Linked DNA regions of Bombyx mori. The protein of the gene in region 1 interacts with the protein of each later gene in a biochemical or structural test. Links are inferred from orthologs where the notes say so. Each region holds a gene or a part of one and is shown on either strand. Other genes may lie near its edges. The genes, in order: tyrosine-protein phosphatase 10D and uncharacterized protein LOC119628334.

Region 1 (4,436 bases):
GTTTGTTCCGGCAAATCTCTGAAACGGCTGTACCGATTTTGACGAAACTTTCACTGATAGGTAGCTGATGATATAAGGAGTAACTGAGGAGACTTTTTTTAGACTAGCCTCGCCCCGCGGCTTCAATAATACATTGGAAGAAAAATGGCTCACTGGACTAAAACTCAGGCAATTAAAAAAATAAAAAAATTTATAGTTCAGATCCGAGCCCAGCCAGGTGGTGAATAATGCAGGTAACTATTAATAATAATAATAATAACTGAGAACAAATCACGCACGATCTTCCGGCCCCAATTTAGGATCCCCCGTGTTTTATGGGTACCAGAGACAGACAAACATATTTATATATGTTTAGATATACATATACACATATAGATAATCAGCACTCAAACAAAGAGCAGACAGAACAGACCTCTACTACGGTCCTCTCCTAGCATCTGCGTACTCTCCGGTCCCACATAGCGCGCGCACGCCCTAGGTGCGGGGACCTCGTAAAGGATCGGCTACCAGCCCAGAAAAAAAATATTAAGTGGGAGGGACCCTTATGACGATTTGACATGAAAAGCGGGTAGTGGTTTTTTTTACGGTCCAAGCATCTTTAGAGGCTCAGTGAATTCCTTCTGATGTGATCTGTGCAAGCAATCGTTGAGTAACTCGGTGGTGCAGTAGCTATTGGCCCTGACTGTTGCGCCGCGTGTTGTGGGTTCAATTCCAATGTCGGGCAAACATAGTGTGATGAACAGGTTTGTCTTTTTTATATTTATTGCTTTGATGGATGGACGAGCTCACAGCCGACCTGGTGTTAAGTGTTTACTGGAGCCCATAGACATCTACAACGTAAATGCGCCACCCATCTTGAGATATAACTTTTAAAGTCTCAGTATAGTTACAATGGCTGCCCCACCCTTCAAACCGAAACGCATTACATCTTCATGGCGGAAATAGATAAGGCGGTGGTACCTATCCGTGTGCACTCACAACAGGTCCTACCACCAGTAATTATGCAAATTATAATTTTGCAGGTTTCATTTTTATTACAAGATGTTATTCCTTCACCGTGGAAGTCAATCGTGAACATTCGTTAAGTACGTAATTTTTCTAATGAAAAGTTGGTGCCCGCCTGCAGGATTTGAACACTGTTGCATCGCTAGATATGAATGCACTGGACATCTTATCCTTTAGGCCATGACGACTTCAGTTTTTTCTTTCCAAGTTCTTTTTTCCCCTCCAATGATCCCCATGATTGGTTTGAAGAAACGATAAGGCATTTAAAATATAATGGGAAACACCTTGGGAAGCAATAAATATATATTATATTTTACTTAAAATACAAAAAATATAATTTAATATATTGCTTGTTCAGGTTCAAAACTAGATATCACCTCACTCCCCACATTTTATAAATTCATAGTGCTGTGGTATGAGGAAAACAAATGAAGTTCACGAAAAAAAAATTACAGTTAAAAAAAATAGTTAGTCCCAAAATTTTAATTTACTTCATAAAGAGACAGGATGATGCTGGATGTACCACATGCCCCACTAGCCATGATTTTAGGCACTAAGAATTTAGAAATTCAGAATTATATTGTAAGCACAGATTAAAGAAACGCAGCTTTTAGATCTCCACATTTAGTATTGAAGCACAATTACAAATAATGTTTAAAAACAAAATAAAGAATATTCATTTCAGCTTTACATTGTCATGTAGGCAGATTTTTGTTGGCATTTGATTCTGAATGCCTGCCTTTTGCTTCAGATTATTGGTTTATAATATATGCATTCATTGCTAATTTATTATGAAAAAAAAAAACCTTTTTAAAAATGTTTCTTTTTATGTGTAAAAACAAACTCTTTTAAAAAAATAAGTCTTTATGTAGTTCACAAGCTAATTCCAAACATTTATAATTCCCAAAGCAGCATTATAAACATGGAAAAGTATCTTATTTTTGTTAAGTGCCCCCACTACTAGATTTCAAGATGTTTTAAGCTATCAATTTCTGAACAGATTTACAAATTAATTTATATTAATTTTGGATAACACATTTATTTTACAAAAGAATTTCTATAATGAAATTAGATTAAGTCAGCTGTCCTATTGGTAATTTAATAGAAATGGGAAACCTGAGCCTTCATCCTTGGCCAGCACTATTGACTTTTGTTTATGGATTTCAGTAGCCACCACCAGGTGGGACGTGAGCTATATAACTATTAACAACCGAAAACTAAGCAAAGATCTTTGGTAAAATGGTATTATAAAGCTTCATTTATAAATAAGTGAAACATGCACACATAATGACACATGAGAAATACTTAGTTAACCAAATTAGTTAAATGTAAATTTTGTATAATAAATGTGTTGACAAATATGCAATATACTGTTATGAATTTATGTTTGTTTAATTCATTTTACTATAATATTAAATTTTCAAAAAGGTCATCCAAAATGCATTTTGGAAAATCAGTAATCCGTACAAAAGGCTCGTACTGACCGCAAGGATAACTAGAAGCAGTGCCAGGGCCGCAGCGCGTGCGCATCCTCCAGTCGCTTGCAAGTTCAACCTTTTCCACGTCATTGAAGACAATTCTTCGTTTTCAGGACACTTTCTCTTCGAAACACTACACTTATTTTGATTCATTATAGCAGGACATGGTTCATTTGTGCCATCACTTCTGATAATAATATAATTGCACTCGTTTGGCTCTGTTGTGGCACACACACAGGTGCACAATACCATTTTAAAACATTACAGCCTGTTTGACTCGTTTCTTCAACTTTTGTGAAGTTCTGTTTTGGTCACAGAGTACCAGTGTGACAAGATTTTATTTGACGAATCTACTGCTTGTGGAGGTTAAAATCTACTAAATTCTACCAAAAGAGAACGATAAATACTCAAAATCTATTATACTTTTTTTGCTGTCGTGTTACAATGTAAAAGCATGAATCTTCTTGATTAAACAATAAAATAATAAAAAGAAACCACAATTAATTAAAGAGACTAACGTTCTTTTTTTTAAATTAAATTCTAAATAAAAATATAATCAAATCAAATCAAATCAAAAAATATTTTTTTTATTCAACATAAATGAAAGTACATACTTGTTGAACGTCAAAAGAACTACCGCCAATTCACAAGAACTAGCCTCCGTCCTGAGAAGAATTGGCAAGAAACTCAGCGGGCATGTCTTTTTTTTTTACATATAAAATTATTATTTATTTATTTTTAATATTAATTTTTTTTTAAATATGAATTTTTTACACTGAGTATTATAACGTAACAATTACTACAATATTGAAATGCCTGGAGCGAGCAACTCATTCCCACTTTGTGCAATCTTCTAGATAATCATTGACTTTATAGTAAGCTTTATTGCACAGATGTTCTTTAATAGTTTTCTTAAACCTATGTATATGTAGGTTCTGAACATCTTGTGGGATTTTGTTGTACAGGCGCACAGACAAACACCCGAATGAATTTCGTATCTTATGTAACCTACTCATCGGCACAACAAGCTTGTGTTTGTTCCTAGTATTTCTATTATGTATGTCCGACTGTTTAGGAAACTCCTCAATATAATTACAAACATACATCAAATTTTCAAAAATGTACTGGAATGGCATAGTGAGAACTTTAATTTCTTTAAATTTCTCCCTCAGGGATTCCCTTGAGTGCATGTTATAAATAGCGCGTATAGCTCTTTTCTGCAGAATAAATATCATTTCTACATCGGCCGCATTGCCCCATAGCAAAATGCCATAGGACATGACACTGTGGAAGTAACTAAAGTAAACTAAACGAGCCGTGTCCGCGTTTGTTAACATTCTAATTTTTTTTACTGCGTATGCTGCAGAGCTGAGCTTACTCGCCAATTTATGAATATGAGGTCCCCACTGCAGTTTGGAGTCCACTGTTATACCAAGAAATACGGTTGAATCAACAAGCTCCAATGATTCCTCAGAAACAATTACATCACTATCCACTTGTCTCACATTTAAAGATGGTTTAATACATTTTAAAGTAAATTTAATACATTTAGTTTTCTTACTATTCAATAATAGGTTATTGATAAGGAACCAATGAACCACACACGAAATCGCATCATTCACTTCGTCATAGACTTGTAATTGTCGTTTAATTTTAAATAATAAAGATGTATCATCTGCGAATAATACGACCTCGTGTCGGGACTCAATAAAACTAGGTAAATCGTTTATATATATTAGAAATAAAAAAGGACCCAAAATGGAACCCTGAGGTACACCCATTTTCAACAAGGTGCCTGAAGATCTATTACCTTTCACATCTACTGTTTGTATCCGTCCTGATAAATAGGAAGTAATAAGTTCCAATGCACCATCCCTAATACCATAGTGATGTAGTTTCCTCACCAATGTTTCATGTTCAACACAGTCAAATGCTTTGGATAAGTCACAGAAA
Region 2 (4,560 bases), on another chromosome or scaffold:
ATTGTATTTGATAGTGATTGCTCAAATGAAACATCATTCTTGTTAGTAATATATATTTCGCCATTGTAAAATCGTTACAGAACTAATTAGTTTTAGTAATTAAATATAGTATTTCAAAAATAAATATTTTTATATTGGATATAATCTGGTTTTTTTTGGGTAGATGAAACAAAAACCACATTTTAGTATTTAATTTTAATATTTTTAAGTACATAAAATAAACCTATCAACTAATTTGTATAATATATAATAATATGTATAATCTTAAATTAATTAGTAATTTGACTTCGATTTGTTACTTGATAATTCAAAAAAAAAGCGCTAGATAATTTGGTCGAATTGTTACTCGAGTGTACACATAAAGGCACTAATATGAAATGTGTCAAATATTTATTGTGTGACTAGCGCGTATATTCTATCACTTGTTGCTTGAAAAAGAGTTAGCTCAGTTGTTAGTTTCATGATATAACTCTTAAAAATTAAATTTTGTACGTGTGGCTCACACTGCTTCTGGCACGATGTTGTTGTGGTGGAAGGGACTGCTCTCATAGGACATGTTGGATGCATTGACAGTGACGCTGTGAAGTGGAGCATATCGGCTTAGTTTTGGAGTGGCCGGACCTGTGAGGTCTTCGGACAACTGCTGGTATACCAAGCCGCAGTCCTTTTTGGTGCGGCCGGGTTGACTCATCGCTGCAATAATGGCACTGTTGTATCTGAGCTGCCTGGTTCTTGATTTACACGTCATCATGACGACCTTAGCGATAACGATTAGCAACAAAAGCGCTCCGAGGATGGCAATGGATATTGGCCACAAGTAGCTGTAATGGCCGTGTTCTTCCTCGGTCGATGTTCGTACATAGACGTCTGGCTCAGAATTTTCGTATAAGTCTAAGAGCTTGATGTCAATCTTAACTTTCTCTGTGGCCTGTTGTTCAGATTTCTTTGTATTCTCAGATTTCGAGTCCGTTTTGTTGATGAGCTCATATTTAAGATCTATGTCATCATTCTCGTAATCTTCGCCAGAGTCGTCTTCGTCGTCATCATCGTCGCCCTCGTCTTCATCATCATCGGGATCAACGTCATCTGATTCTTCATCAGTGCTATCAATTATTAGTTTGCTGTCAGCAGAAGCGTTGGTATCATCAGGAATTTTACCGTCATCTAAGGTGTTCTTCAAATCGAAATTACCCTCAGTGTCCTTGTCGATTCTTTCCCAAATTTCTTCGTCAGATACAGCCGATAATGGTTCAACAGGATGGGAAATAACTGTAGTTCCACAAGTCTTGATAGTCAGGAAATCCCAGCTGTAAGTGGCATCATCATCTTTTCCATCTCTAGCCATATTGGCGACGTTGGCAGAGTTACCAGTAGGCAACACTGTGTGGTTGTTCAGCCATGTCATGAGGTTTTCAAAGTCTCGGCTGCAGGCCAACGGATTGTTGGTAATGTCTAAAGTACGTAGTTTGTTCAAATTATCTAATTCGTTTTGTTTAATTTCCGTAATTCTATTGTGGGATACATTCAAGAATAGTAAATTGATAAGAACTGTCAGTGGGTGATTTTTATCTACTTTCCACAAAGAGGTTAATTCAGCGTGACTCATGTCTAGCCAAATCATGGCCGGAGTGTGGACAAAAATTTCCGCAGAAAGTACTTTAAGAGGGTTACCTTGTAAATTAAGCTTTGCAAGTTCATTGTTCTTTGCGAAGAGCTTAGGATCTAAAGTGGTGAGCATATTATAAGCAAGATTGATTTCCATTAATTTAGGGCAGTGCGAGAAAACGGTATTGTTTATGGTAGTTAATTTATTATTCGATAGATGAATTATTGACAGAGCAGAGAATGTTTTCAGAGAATTATCGTAAATCTCTTCTAGACCACAGTCAGATGCGCCAAAGAAGTAAATATTAAACTGATCAGATGAGCATGTGAAACCTTCAACCGGTAAATGTTTTAGCCGTGGGTTGTTTGAAATTTTGAAGATGTCAAGTTCGATGTTTTCTTTGATAAGAATACTGGACATGTAATCCAAATTATTATACGACAAATCTAAATAATTGAGTTCTACTAATTTGTGGAATGCCTGGTTATGGATTTTCTCGATACTATTTCCGCTGAGGTTGAGATTAGCAATAAGACCCATACCGTTGAACATTGATGGCCCAACAAACTTAATGTTTGTTTGTCCCGCATTAAGTGTAAGCAAATCGGATATTTGGAGGCCATACACTGTATCAATAGGATTTTTCAGTAAATGCAGTGTTGCTAGTTCGGTGTTTTCCGAGAAAATGTCGTCGGGGAGCGATTTAATGTGATTGTTGCGGAGATCTAACTCTTCGAGATCGAGTAATTTTTTGAATGTATCTGGATCCATATCGGATAGGTTGTTACCGGCAACATTCAAGTACATCAAACCAGGCATATTTTTGAAAGTATTTGCCGTGATGTACTGCATGTTACAGTATGAAACATCAAGCTCTTGTACAGAGGAAGCGTTCAAGAAGTAATTTTCGGACCCAGCTGCAGGAAATTTGAGGGGATTGTTTGAAAGCGTTAGAAGTAACAGCTTCTTATTGTTCGCAAACGTCTCAGGATGAAGGCTCTTTAGGTTGTTGTTGGATAGGTTGACTGCGTAAAGGTCATGGACACCATGGAAAGCATTGGGGGCGATATAACCAATCGTGCTGTTCACGATTTTTACAGTAGCAACCTGGTGAAGTCCGAGTTTTTTGAACATGAAGTCGTCTAGATTAATCGGGTAGCGGGGATCTGCGTTTTCGACCACGAGATCAAGGATATCATCGCCGAACTTTTGTGTACCGATTTCGAGGAAGCTGCACTTGGCTTGTCTGTATCCCTGAGATACAGAGCATATGCAGTCTCTGGGACAGGGCCTGTCCTCGTTGTACAAAACCTCTTGGTATTCCGCGGGTTCGTAATCCTCATATTGATCCAATAAGTTGTCGGCGTCTTTGTCTTTCTTGACGGTTTTATTGATAGATTCGCCGAATACCAGCGCGCATGCTGCCAGGAGCAGTAGTAACTCCCGGGACCTTGCCCCCATGTCGTAGCGAACTCTGAAACGTGACAAAGGGATATTTTAATCAACCGACAAAATATACATACTTATCTTTGACTATTATTAAATTATCTGACAGCAGTCAAGAATAGTGGCGGTGCTGTGATCAATCATTGGACGCGACAACCAAAGAGAATCGAGTGGGCATGTTCTTCCAAAAAAAATTATGACTTCGGTTTCTAAATTTCCAATTATATTAATGGCCTTTAATGTATGTTTGGAAATCATTCAACTAATACTACTGGGCTGACGAATTTGTTGGTTCTTAAAAGGCTTGTTTTTGGAGTGTTTATTTTGCTATAAGAACTGTACTAATTAGTTGTTTAACGCATGAAAGCTTAAAAAAATAACATCTAAACAAATTATTTGAAAACGGAATGTATGTATTTATTACGATTTAAAATCAACGCTACAAATGGAAATATCCACAACACGTATAATGAATGACACTGCCTATATTGTATCTTCGTCAATAAAATGTAGACAAAGAGAACAGATGTTCCAGGCATTGTTCTAGTGAAATCTTATCTGAGCATTGTCCATCTGTCCGTTTGTTGACTGCCTCAGTAAACGGATAGCAAGAGTTCTTGGTTTGTTAAAATTGTATTGGAATATTTTTGAATATAGGAAAAAAAAACAATTAATATAATTATGGAATCGATTTAAAAGCAAAGCTTACATATCTATGGAACATCGTAAATTCGTTGCATAGGTAATTGTTTGTTTTTTTTTTATTGCTGAGGTGGGTGGACTAGCCCACAGCCCACCTGGTGTTAAGCGGTTACTGGAGCCCATAGACATCTACGACGTAAATCAGCCACCCACCTTGAGACATGAGTTCTAAAGTCTCAATGTAGTTACAACGGCTGCCCCGCCCTTGAAACCGAAACGCATTACTGCTTCACGGCAGAAATAAGCAGGGTGGTGGTATCTACCCGTGCGGACTCACAAGAGGTCCTACCACCAGTAGTATAACCGTAATCAATTATTAAATGAAACGTTTAATATCAAACAAACCAATTAACTAAAAAAATATTTTAAAAAAACCCACGTTTTTTTTTTTCTTTATAATGAAAACCACGCTATCTGATATGAATATTTACTGTCATCCGACCTTACTCAGTGGTTTTTCCTTCTAACTATTTCGCAATATCGGCGCAGACGCCTTCTTTATTTGCATGGTAATTATGATCGTCAAAGTCCGTATGTCGTTTTACACTTCAATAAATAATAACACAGTAAACAAAATACACACTCACTGAACAGGATTAGACAATAGCTTTGCGTTGATAATTTATTGTAGAAAGTCTTTGCACTTTCACACTACGACAATGGGCACTATGCGATCGCGCTCCACGACCGTGTCGACTTCACGGATGCCGGTAACTGAATGAACTATGAAGGGCCGATATTTACCGGCCGATATGCCGAGAGCGCAAAAGGTAATACGGCTTGTTTCAGGTTTATATTGCGTGGTT

The links.
Region 2: of the proteins of tyrosine-protein phosphatase 10D (region 1) and uncharacterized protein LOC119628334, one has a biochemical effect on the other in vitro, tested with the Drosophila melanogaster proteins (2 studies listed by BioGRID). The link is inferred for Bombyx mori from reciprocal best matches to the Drosophila melanogaster genes Ptp10D and Gp150.

The regions. Positions count from the first base shown.
Region 1 is NC_085119.1:17,685,614-17,690,049, reverse strand, and holds the start of tyrosine-protein phosphatase 10D, read right to left. Parts: upstream 2,823-4,436; 5' UTR 2,736-2,822; coding exon 2,490-2,735; exon of another isoform or gene 413-2,489; intron 1-412.
Region 2 is NC_085111.1:6,224,145-6,228,704, reverse strand, and holds uncharacterized protein LOC119628334, read right to left. Parts: upstream 3,068-4,560; coding exon 500-3,067; 3' UTR 181-499; downstream 1-180.